4 linked regions of the Macaca mulatta genome follow. The protein of the gene in region 3 interacts with the protein of the main gene of each other region in a pairwise test. Links are inferred from orthologs where the notes say so. Each region holds a gene or a part of one and is shown on either strand. Other genes may lie near its edges.

Region 1 (2,518 bases), on a different chromosome or scaffold from region 3:
TCAAAAAATAAAAAAAGAAAAGCATGTAACCTCCTCAGAAGAAAGATGCTATAATCTCAGGCAGCAGGCAAGAACCAACTCAGGCTCTATGCAAATTATCTATCTCACTGACCCCCACCAAACCTCAGAAAAATTTAACGGTGAGAAGCAAAATCTCCTTTAAAGAGCAATGTAGAACGGAGAGAAAATATCATACAGCTGACTTCACTAGAGAGAAAGTGGATCAACTGCTTTCACTCAACAAAAAGAAAAAGGAGACGATCAATACAGATCCCCTCACCTCCTGGCAGCCCTTACCCTCAGTGAAAAGCCACCACCATTGTCTCTCTGGTGGCCATCAGATGAACCTGCGGCATTCCCACAAGACAGAATGGAGATTTCCCAAGGTATAGAGCAAGTTAGAGTACCTCAAAGAATGGCACCAGCCAGCCAGCTCCGAAGCTGCCAACACTACCATACATACACAGTTCAGTAAGTCAAGAAAGGCCTGGTACACAGCATTCTGTAACTTTTTTTTTTTTATTTTTTTCAATTTTTCCTTCTTTTTTTTTTAAGCACTAGTCTGTGCTTTGCGAACAGAATCAAGACATTAACAAAGATCAGCTTCTCTGAAGAAAAGCATTTCTATAGAACAAAGACAGCTACATGTTTCGCTGCCATTACACAGCTCCAAAGCAGGAAAAGAAAATATTTACAAAATACAAGTTTTTTTTTTTTTTCATTTTTTGTTTTTGTTTTTTTTTTTTCAATGCTAAAAGGGTTATTCAGAATTTTCAACCTTATAAATAGAAGAAGCACTTTATGCATAGGGATATGGTGCATTATTGTATTTTTTCTTTAAAGAAACAATGACAAACCCTTTAACTTGCAAACAGAAAAAAAAAATCACTAATGTTGAAAATTGTGAAAAAACCCCAACCATTAAGCAGTTGTCTACTATTTTTATACGATTACAAAATGGCCAAAAAAAAAGTCTTCTCCCCCCTCCCCCTTTTTGGTGATGTGATCATACAGGAGACAGGCACAAGGTTAACAGAGAAGGGTGAAGGGGGAACAATGGGAACCACAGCTAGGACCAGACAATGTTCCACAGGCAAGGGGAGCGTGAAAGACCAAGAGTGGAACTAACACCGACAGGGATCTGGATGTGAAGGAAACATGGCAAAGCGAATCAGAGAAAAAAAAAAAAATCACACAGGGAGATGGCTGCTCACTTCCCACAACCCCGTTTGCAGGGGAGTGGGAACAGAGGTTAAGTAGTCCTAACCCTACCTTCAGAGATCAGGATAGGTGGTAAAAAAAACATTCCGAGTGGAAGGACGGGTTGTGGGTGTGTATGTGGCATTGGAGAACGGACAGGGAAGGGTACCAAGGGGCATGATGAAGGGAACCTGAGCAGCCACAGCCAGGTTACTGCAGTTAAAGAGTCAAAACAGAGAAGACCAAATGCAGATGAAACAAAAAATAGGTCTCTAAGTTCTGGGTGAGAAGGGAAAGCTGTTCTGCCGGCTGAGCACTTGGTGAGAGCAGCTGGCAGTTACGGCAGAGAGGCTCTGGTGGGGATGTTCCAGCACGAAAAACCAAGGGGGGACCCAGCCAGGAGGGCCACAGCTGAGCCCAGCCACAGATGGGAGGGGAAGGGGTAAGAGCCCAGAGCACCCTGCCCCATTCCACCCTAGCCCGAGAAGGCCATGCTCAACTGGAGCCCTCTGCCCGCCAGGCTGTTCTGCCCTGCCCACAGGTGTGAGGGAGGGGGTGTGGTCATCTAAGATTGGTAAGTCCAGTGATTCAACAGTGCAGAGGATGTGCCAGGACCAGGCCAGCAGGGTCTCATCCTGAACTTCTGTTTGCCAACGGGAGGAAGTGCTCAGGTGTGTGACAAGAAAACATGGAAACAAAAAACAAAAATTAAAACGAGAGAAAAAAATACCAAAGTAGGATCTAAATTCCTTAAGTTCACTAAAAACTGTGAAAATTTCCGGCATATGATGTTTGAATATCAAACGCAGAGATTTCTGAAGCTTTAATGCCAATAGTTAGTGAGTCTGTTTAGATTCTTGTCTCCCGCTCATCTGTGAGTTGGGCGCTGAGCTGTGGCTGCTGCCACCAGATGCCGACTCTTGAGGGGGACAGTGGGAGGCGAGGTGGGTGCCGCCTCTGTCTCCCGGCCAGTCTTGCTGCCTGAGGTGCGTCGAGTGCAGCGGGCTGCTCGCTCCTGTGCATCCAGCTGGTCCTCACACTCCGCCTGGGGACTGTGCGCCAGGGGGAAGGTCCGCCGCTCCCAGGGCTGGACAGACTGTAGGCAGACAAGTTGCTCTGTGAGGACCCAGACCCAGCCAGCCTGCTTCCTGCTCCAAGGCCCTGCCACAAACCTTGTGGCCGGAGACTAGGACCAGTCTATCTAGCGTTCCTGGGACAGTCCAGGAACACCCCTCCTAGGGTGTACCCAGACAACCGTACTGACCATTTAGCAAAGATAAATATAGTTCCACTGAATGTTGAGGAGGTCAATTTAAGT
Region 2 (3,500 bases), on a different chromosome or scaffold from region 3:
CAAATGTATACTTTTTGTTTTCTGTTATCAGAGTGAGTCTGTCAGCTACATCTCATTTTCCTCAGGTCTCAGCCCACACTGGGGAACATGAAATGTTCTTGCAGAAGATGGTACCTCTAGGAAAAGAAGGAGAACCCAGTATGCCCCTCCAGTCCATGAAAGCCCAGCTAAAGTATGAATCTCCAGAACTTGAATCCCAACAGGAGCAAGGTAAAGAAGAAAGATCCATCTTGGGAGGAAGGGGAAGATGGGTAACATAGGACACTGGGGCTTTTTTGTACTTGCTACTGTTTCTGATCATTAAAGTCAAAAAGGCCCTCTCTGAATCTGATGGCTCATACATAGACTCTCAGATGGCCTGGTTTGTCACTCTTCAACCCTTACTTTCTTGTATATTCATATTCTTCTAAATTCTGGCTTTAACACTTAATTTAGTCCTTCTGATACATTCTCTCTCTTTATACTGACCTCCTTGCTATTTTTTTCTTTCTTTTTTTTTTTTTTTGAAACGGAGCCTCGCTCTGTTGCCCAGGCTGGAGTGCAGTGGCGCGATCTCGGCTCACTGCAAGCTCCACCTCCCGGGTTCACGCCATTCTCCTGCCTCAGCCTCCCCAGTAGCTGGGACTACAGGCGCCCGCCACCACGTCCGGCTAATTTTTTTGTATTTTTAGTAGAGATGGGGTTTCACCGTGTTAGCCAGGATGGTCTCAATCTCCTGACCTTGTGATCCGCCTGCCTTGGTCTCCCAAAGTGCTGGGATTACAGGCGTGAGCCACCGCACCCGGCCTACCTCCTTGCTATTTTTAGCTTTTATCCTATCAGACAATACCTCTATCTTCCACTTGCACTATATCCTTTCTGCTTCATTAAATAAGACTTTGCTCCATTATTTCTGCAACCAACTTTCAGATGGTTCAAGAAAAAAAAAATTGTATACTTACAAAGAAAAGGAATAACAGGCTGGGTGTGGTGGCTCACACCTGTAATCCCAACACTTTGGGAGGCCAAAATGGGTAGATCACGAGGTCAGGAGTTCGAGACCAGCCTGACCAACATGGTGAAACCCTGTGTCTACTAAAAATACAAACATTCGCTGGGTGTGGTGGCACATGCCTGTAATCCCAGCTACTTAGGAGGCTGAGGCAGGCGAATCGCTTGAACCCAGGAGGCGGAGGTCGCAGTGAGCTGACATCACGCCACTGCACTCCAGCCTGAACGATAAAGCAAGACTCTGTCTCAAAAAAAAAAAAAAAAAAGAAAAAATAATAAAACAAATGTTACAAAATATTAAAAGTTCATGAATGTGTGAAAGATCCACTACCTTATTTCTGCTTTCTCTGCATCTGTTTCATTTTCATTTAATTTTTTAAGTAGGTAAAAATGTACATGGCTCAAAAACAAAATGTTTTAAAGTTATTTAATGAAAAGTTTCTATTCCACTTGATTTTCCCAGCCACCTAGTCTCTTCCTCCTACTCTGAAATAGGCTGTAACTGTTACTAATTTTTTGTGTGTCCTTCCAGATATTTTTTGATGCATATATGTTTTCCATATTGAAACAAATATATTTTCCTCTCTTTATCACTAAGATGGTAGAGTCTTGCATTTTTAATTTCCTAACAGCTGCTTAATATTAAAATGTATGGATACATTTTAAAGGTACAAAAGGTAACATTTATGATCCCTTCTTAGTTTTAGATGTTGAGACTGGAAATGAGTATGGAAATTTAAAGCAAGAAGTTTCTGAAGAAATGAAACCACATGGGAATACATCCAGTAAATTTGAAAATGATATGTCCCAGTCTGCTAAGTGTGGAGAAACTCATGAACCTGAAGAAATAACAGAAGAGCCCTCTGCATGCTCCAGAGAAGATAAACAACCTACCTGTGATGAAAATGGAGTAAGCCTGACTGAGAACTCTGACCATACTGAGCATCAGAGAATCTGTCCAGGAGAAAAATCTTATGGATGTGATGACTGTGGAAAAGCTTTTAGTCAGCACTCACACCTCACAGAACATCAGAGGATCCATACTGGAGACAGACCCTACAAATGCGAAGAATGTGGAAAAGCTTTCCGTGGGAGAACTGTGCTTATTCGACACAAAATAATACACACTGGAGAGAAACCATATAAGTGTAATGAGTGTGGCAAAGCCTTTGGCCGGTGGTCAGCTCTTAACCAACATCAGAGACTTCACACAGGAGAAAAACACTATCACTGTAATGACTGTGGCAAAGCCTTTAGTCAGAAAGCAGGCCTCTTTCACCACATCAAGATCCACACAAGAGACAAACCTTATCAGTGTACTCAGTGTAATAAAAGTTTTAGTCGGCGTTCCATACTTACTCAGCATCAAGGAGTTCATACCGGCGCGAAGCCCTATGAGTGCAATGAGTGTGGAAAAGCCTTTGTTTATAACTCATCCCTTGTTTCCCATCAGGAAATCCACCACAAAGAAAAATGCTATCAGTGTAAGGAATGTGGGAAATCCTTCAGTCAGAGTGGCCTTATTCAGCATCAGAGAATTCACACTGGGGAAAAACCCTACAAATGTGAGGTATGTGAAAAAGCCTTTATTCAAAGGACAAGTCTTACAGAACATCAGCGAATTCACACTGGAGAAAGACCCTATAAATGTGATAAGTGTGGGAAGGCATTTACTCAAAGATCGGTCCTCACGGAACATCAGAGAATTCACACTGGAGAAAGGCCCTACAAGTGTGATGAGTGTGGGAATGCCTTCCGAGGAATCACCAGCCTCATTCAGCATCAGAGAATCCACACTGGGGAGAAGCCCTACCAATGTGATGAGTGTGGAAAAGCCTTCAGACAGAGGTCAGATCTTAGTAAACACCAGAGCATCCATAATAGAGGTGGTCCCTATGTATGTAAAGAGTGTGGGAAATCATTCAGGCAGAACTCAGCTCTTACTCAACATCAGACTATCCACAAAGGAGAAAAATCTGTTTCTGTGTGATGACTACAGGGAAGTTATCTCACAGAGTTCAGGCCGGTGAGAAATACTATTTAGCTTTACAATTATTGGGGTAAAACTTCAGTCACCATTGTTACAGGGAAACCTCAGATATTTAATAAGAATTCAGTACGTGCTGCCCATTGTATTAGGTGCTGTGGAGAACAAGAAGATAACCCCAAACTCTTTTCTCAGAGAGTTTATAGCCTAGTTTGGGATAGATAAGATCCACATATTTAGTTAAATAAGACTACAGGAGAGTAGAATAGATGCACAAGTCGGTGTTGAATAAAAGTGGTACTTTGTAGCCTGTAAGTGCTGTAAATTCTAAAGGACAGGTTACTTTTGCCTGGAGTGGTGAAGAAAGATTTTATTTAAAATAAGGATTTGATGGACAGACTTAGCAGTCACAAGGGAGAAAATGGGTAAAACAAATGTAAGCCAACTTAAGAGTGCATGTGGTTTGGAAGCATCAGGGAAAAAACTAGCCAACCTGAAGTAAAAGGTTCATGCAAATTGGGCA
Region 3 (3,642 bases):
TCACACTTGAATTTTTCTGCTCAGATTTTAAAAGGACTGGAGGAGCTTGAGTTTCCTCAGACTTCACAATACATGGACATATTTAATGACACCTCTGTCCACTGGTTCCCCATGCAAAAGCTAGAACAGCTCTCCACAGATATTTGGGAGTTTCAGGAAGAACCAGATTATCAGGACTGTGAGGACCTTGAAATCATCAGGAACAAGACAGAAGATCCTTCCACTACTGACTGAACTCACTGTGAGGTACTCAGTGTTGGCTGAGGTAGAAGCTGCCACCGGAGACTAAAGGGAAGGCTGCCATGGAGGAACTACAGAGAACTCCTTTGCCAGGAAAGAACATCAACTTGGCTGTCTTGTTTTGAGGACAATACCCCCCATGAGGACTTGGTATAAAGATTCCTGCACTGCTAAGTGGCATTGTCCCGCTTTACATGCTTCCCTCGTGACCTGGCCCAATGTGGAGTAGCTCCCGAGTAAAGAAGTTACGCTTTTGAAGGTGATCTAAAATACCGTTTATTCACAACACATCCCTCTCAGGGGCAAGTCTCTGGCTGGCTCTGGGCCTGCCACAGTTCACTTGGCCATGTCGATCAGGCTCTGCAGTGAGGTGGGCACCCATGTCTTCTCGCCCTGGACAAAGACCACTCCCCGGTCGATGTAGATCACAATGCGGCCAAAGGTGTAGAGCTGCTTCCCTTCGTGTCGCTTCCCAATGACGGGCATGAAGACAATGTTGTGCTCCTCAGCCTTGGTCTCAATGAGGTCCTTAAAGTTCATGGGCACAGAGCTGGCGGCCACGCCAATGCCCCTCTGGGCCATGTTCTCAGCCTCCCGCCTCTCCTGCATGGCCTCGTACTGGAAGTCCTTCCTCCGCTCCGTGTGGGTGAGATAGGCAATGTTCTCCCGCGCGCCTGGCTGCATGTAGGCACCTGAGAGATACAGGAGGACAGGGCAGTGAGGAGAGGTGTTTCCAGGTGTATGGAAGTTGACGCTGACTTGGCCCAGGTCTGGGTGTGCCAGAGTGTTTGTGACTCACTGAAGGGCAGTTCTGCCTCAAAGATACAACTTTGGAGGAAGTTTAGACAACTGGCCAGTATCACATAAAAACTGTTCAGAAGGTTTCTGGCTAGTATCTAGTAACCAAAGAGATTATTAAATATTCAACATTTAAAAATGAAGTATCTGCAAGGGATTTCTTCTTTCAGAGCTGGAAACAGCAGAGTCCTCAGCCACTCTCCTGTTTCCACCTTGCCCTGTAGAGTTTCCACTTCATACCACCAAAGAGGCAGCTTTTAGTACCTTGAAAATATAGGCCCACACTGGCTTTATTTTTAACCTACCCACACAGGCCCCACATCCTGAAAGGAGTTCACGTATATTTGAGGAGCTGAAATTGGTGTTTAAGGATAATACAAGACCATAAATGCTAAGTGCTCACTGAGGGGTATATACAGGGAAGAGTTTTGGAAACATGAGGCCAGGGGTAGCTAAGGAAGAGTTTTTAGAAAGAACTTGATAATTACGGAAGCAGAGAAGTATATTTGCCTTATTACTTAATCTCTGTTTTCACAGAATAGGCTATTTTTTCTTTTTTTCTTTTCTTTTCTTTTTTTTTTTTTTTTTTTTTGAGACCGAGTCTCTCTCTTGTCGCCTAGGCTGGAATGCAGTGCTTGTGATCTCCACCACTCACTACAACCTCCGCCTCCCAGGTTCAAGTGATTCTTCTGCCTCAGCCTCCTGAGTAGCTGGTGTTACAGGCATGTGCCACCACGCCCGGCTAATTTCTGCATTTTTAGTACAGATGGGGTTTCACCATGTTGTTCAGGCTGGTCTCAAACTCCTGACCTCGTGATTGACCCGCCTCGGCCTGCCATAGTGTTGGGATTAGAGGCATGAGCCACGGCGCCTGGCCTAGGCTAACTATTAAATAACAAGAATTAAAGACTCAGGAAATAGAAATTCTAGTTCTAACTGCCACCCTTTAACTATGTGACCTTGAACAGGCTCTTAGCCTCACTGGGCTTATCTGTGAAACAGACTAGATGATCCCATTTCAATGCTGTGAATCGGCTAATGAGCAACACTGGAGCACACGACTGGTTGAAATAGGCTCCCAAATGTAGAAACATAAACATACTTTCATTTACTTATGATCTAGGCAGAATGACTTGCCTAGAACTTGGGAATAGATATAGTACATGAAGAGTGAACTGCCGGTTTTTGACAACACAGACACCACCTATTGAAGGCTGCAAACAAGCATGAACTCAATCCCCCTTTTAGCCTATGAAGTAGATCTTACTGTTTAACAGGTCAAATGGGGCTGATGAAGGCTGAGCAATCACCAAGTGTAAGACCGTGTACCCAACTCCACACTGTAAGATGTGTGACCTGGGCAGCGGGTTCAGGGCTGAATGAGCCTTAAAAGGCCACACAGCACAGTGGTTAAGAGGGCGGGGCCTGGGGTTAGACTGACATCTGAATCCAGCTTAAGTCAGTCTCCTTAGGGAAGATGCCCCTCTCAGTCATGGTAGACCTGGGCAGTGGGTGCCAGCTGACCATGTACCCCAATCAGCAGGGTGAGAGTCTGTTGCTATGGGCAAAAGTGCGACCTAAGGTTTAGGCTGCCTACAGGAACCAGAAAACTCTGATTCTGTGTCATTTACATGTGTAAAATCTGAAACTCAGGGCCAGGACATCCAAAATGGGAATCCTCACTTACCAACATTGGAGGACACCGCCCGGTTCATGATATCAAGTGCCTCGTTAAATTTGTCCTTGACAGATGGATGTGCCAGCACTTGGTCTGAGAACATAGACTTCCAACCCAGGTACCACTTGGTGATCTCCTCATAATTTGGGCTGTTACTGAGCCAAGAGCACAGCACCTGCCAAAAAGAAAAATTACTTGCATCCATGGTGGCAACAAATGAAGGCAAGATTTCCGAAGGGGCCATTTGTTTTGTTTTGATCCTGGTCCTGCAGGCTAGTGACACCACTTTACAGGGATTTATAGTAGCTAAACAGTCTAGGACTTACGAATATGGATTTTGGAGTCAGCCTGGTAGCTAAAGTGCCCTTGCATGTAAACTCTCTGAGCTCCGCTTCCATGTCTACACGACAGGGATACCATAGCCCCTACCCCATAGGGTTGCTGCGAGGAGCTGAGATAAAGCAAATAAAGTGCTTGGAACAGCTTCTGATACGTAGCAAATGTCCAATAAATGGTGGCCACTATTAAGATGACCTAACTCATTCCTACCCTACCATGTAATTCATTTTTATTATGGAATTGTACCTACAGTCAGGCCTCGGCAGAAAATTAACTTAATCCCCACTCAGTTCCCTCCCCCAGAAAGCCAAGCAAAACAGTGTACCTGAAGCCACTTGGGGAAGAAGTGCTTTTCAAGAAGTCCCACCAGACTAGAGACAGAGATCATCCCTTCCCAGTCGATCACCCAATAGAATGCATCCATGTGCTGCTGGTGGGGGTTAATGACTAGCTCACCAAGACACATCCCTGGAAGAGAAACCCGGTCTATAAGGCACAGCTTTAGTACTGGCAAAGCCACAGAAGCACAAAGAGCAAAGATAATGTCCGTTTTCCTCTCAGGTCACAACAACCTCCACCTCCTGGGT
Region 4 (2,493 bases), on a different chromosome or scaffold from region 3:
TACCACCATGCCCAGGATGTCATTTTAGAAGTCATTTACACTGACCCTGTGGATCTTTCTCTGGGCACCGTGGCAGAAATCACTGGTCATCAGCTCATGAGTTTGTCTACGGCAAATGCAAAGAAAGATCCCAGCTGCAAAACCTGTAATATCAGTGTTGGACGTTAATGCCCACTTTTCTTATTCTTACTCAGCCCCTTTTCCTCCATTAGGAGCATTGGTCCTGTTGTCCCTTTTCATCACCAGATGTTTTCCACTGAAGCATGCACATGCCACTGTCACCAAAAACGAACTACCACTTTCCAAATTCCATTCAGAGCCATTTTAGTGTTTTCCTATTCCCTACCCCTCCCACTACTTTCAATGATGAAATACCCTAAGTTCTCCTTCTGACACTTTATTGCCTAGATGCTGCAATGTTTTTATGTTTCCTTTATGCCAAACATAACAAAACAGTTATATAGACCGCTTTAGCAAAGTACACAATAATGGCTTATAAATGGTGTTTAAATATGCATTCATTTTAATCTACTGAACAAATATTGGGATAACTCCAAACCGCATGAAAGGGTGTAATTGCAGCATGAGTTAAATCTTGAAGCCTAGAATTGTCAGCACTTCCAACTTCTTGTTTGACAGTGTTATTTATGTTATTTATATTAGCTAACAGGAAACAACTACTGTGTTTCAACATAATAAATATAATAGAAAAATATTTTATTTGTATTGTTGTATAAAATATTTACAATCATATAGAATATATAGAGTTACATTTTAATAGCAATTGTGTACATGTCACGAAACCATTTCCCTTATCAAAGATGTAATTTGTAAACCTCAAATAGTTGTGTATCTGTCCTGTTACAAGTAGATGACTTCAATTAAACAAATGTATGAAGGACATTATTCTGATTCATAAAAGTTATAAAATATTAGGTAAATACAGAGAAAACAATAAGCCTCTGAAATAGTCTGTTTCTGAAATAGTCAATAGTCTTCCCATCCAAACTATAAGAAAATGTGAATTTCTTCAACATCATACTTAAATGTTACAGAAAATAGAAATACAAACAAGGTTGGTACATGAGGGAAAATGTTGACCTTTTACTTCCTTTTACAAAAATGAAAATAATAAACATGTTTTAGTATAAAATAACACAAAATGATATACACTAAAGTTGATGAAGCAAATAAATATTCTGGCTTCTTTTTCAAGGTATCAGGGCAATTTCCAAACCTTTCATTTTGTACAGAAGGAAGAATAACTACAGCTCATGGGAAATGTTTTGACTTTACAAAGTATAGATGTTGGAACATTAAGAAAAATGTATATTCCCAATGAAAAAATAGTTATATCATCTTATAGTAAACAAAAAGATTAGCAATAATACTATGGACATATTAGATTATATACTGCAGACACATATCTATCCAAAATACCTATTTTAAATTTTTAATACAATATTTTATTTTAATATAAACATCTGTCAGTTATAGACAAAGATAATAATTCACAAAGTACATGCTATCAGAATGAACTTTGGTAACCAGAAATGTAAAATTTCAAATACCAGATAAAATAATGTGTTATTTTTATAGAGAAATAAAAAAAATAGCAGTAACACAATCTAGGTTATTTTAGGGTACTGAGAGCCTAGCAGACTTAAAGGACAAGGTAGTAAATGTTTTATCACTCAAAAATCCATTAGAAGTTTCAAATAAATTACTTTCTTGCTAGGTACATTCCTTCCTACTTGAAAAGCAGAATTTCTTTTCCTCCTCTGATTGATTTTTAAAAATCATGCTCTTTTCCATACATCAACATAAACAATCTTTGGATACTAAATAAACTTTCCCTAACAAGCATCCTAGCTATGTTATTTAGATTTGATAAAATATTAGACATTTTTTAAAATACTTGTATTGACTATGAGTTTTCTGCTTGGCATGGAGGACACTGAATTTTTTCCCAATTATAAGGCTACCTGTTGTATCCTTCCCCCCATTTAAATCCCTTCTCCTTGTATATAATTAAACTTGCTATTCCTTCTTGAAAACAGCTAATACTACCACTAAAGTGCTTCCATTTTCATTGTGTCAAAACTACTTAGCAAGGATGGCAGAGGAAAATAAACTTTACTTTATATCATGGGTGAAAGTGATCATAACATTTCCCGAACCTCAAATAGTTTTGGCCACATCTTGCTTGCTGATGAGGACCTCTAATAGTCTCAGTTTGGCTTTTATGTGCTTATATTCGTAATACTCATCTGCCATTGGTATCCTATCTTCCTTTTGTGGACTTCTGCAAAACAAAAATACATTTATTAGTTCACAATGAATCAAGTCATTATTAAATATTCTTTTATAATTCATACATGAGAAAGTATACTGTGACAGCTTCCACTTGGTTTTTGCATCATGTCTTCTTTTCCTTCCCTTTCACCTTCATTCACTCCTTCTTCCATGTGTTACTAAACTTCTAAATAACAG

Evidence for each region.
Region 1: the proteins of TFIP11 (region 3) and KANSL1 interact in binary tests that used the Homo sapiens proteins (3 or more experiments, as listed by UniProt). The two-hybrid records come from large-scale screens. The link is inferred for Macaca mulatta from reciprocal best matches to the Homo sapiens genes TFIP11 and KANSL1.
Region 2: the proteins of TFIP11 (region 3) and ZSCAN12 interact in binary tests that used the Homo sapiens proteins (3 or more experiments, as listed by UniProt). The two-hybrid records come from large-scale screens. The link is inferred for Macaca mulatta from reciprocal best matches to the Homo sapiens genes TFIP11 and ZSCAN12.
Region 4: the proteins of TFIP11 (region 3) and FAM13C interact in binary tests that used the Homo sapiens proteins (3 or more experiments, as listed by UniProt). The two-hybrid records come from large-scale screens. The link is inferred for Macaca mulatta from reciprocal best matches to the Homo sapiens genes TFIP11 and FAM13C.

The regions. Positions count from the first base shown.
Region 1 is NC_133421.1:70,930,607-70,933,124, forward strand, and holds the end of KANSL1 (KAT8 regulatory NSL complex subunit 1), read right to left. Parts: intron 2,297-2,518; coding exon 2,069-2,296; 3' UTR 501-2,068; downstream 1-500. UniProt on the Homo sapiens protein: Non-catalytic component of the NSL histone acetyltransferase complex, a multiprotein complex that mediates histone H4 acetylation at 'Lys-5'- and 'Lys-8' (H4K5ac and H4K8ac) at transcription start sites and promotes transcription initiation.
Region 2 is NC_133409.1:154,952,451-154,955,950, forward strand, and holds part of ZSCAN12 (zinc finger and SCAN domain-containing protein 12), read left to right. Parts: intron 1-31; coding exon of another isoform or gene 32-65; coding exon 66-210; intron 211-1,691; coding exon 1,692-2,980; 3' UTR 2,981-3,500. UniProt on the Homo sapiens protein: May be involved in transcriptional regulation.
Region 3 is NC_133415.1:25,062,731-25,066,372, reverse strand, and holds the end of TFIP11 (tuftelin-interacting protein 11), read right to left. Parts: intron 3,524-3,642; coding exon 3,381-3,523; intron 2,892-3,380; coding exon 2,726-2,891; intron 1,178-2,725; exon of another isoform or gene 933-1,177; coding exon 577-932; 3' UTR 501-576; downstream 1-500. Other genes in the region: SRRD (SRR1-like protein), read left to right, coding at 25-234. UniProt on the Homo sapiens protein: Involved in pre-mRNA splicing, specifically in spliceosome disassembly during late-stage splicing events. Intron turnover seems to proceed through reactions in two lariat-intron associated complexes termed Intron Large (IL) and Intron Small (IS).
Region 4 is NC_133414.1:90,577,646-90,580,138, reverse strand, and holds the end of FAM13C (protein FAM13C), read right to left. Parts: intron 2,306-2,493; coding exon 2,182-2,305; 3' UTR 501-2,181; downstream 1-500. Other genes in the region: PHYHIPL (phytanoyl-CoA hydroxylase-interacting protein-like), read left to right, coding at 1-168.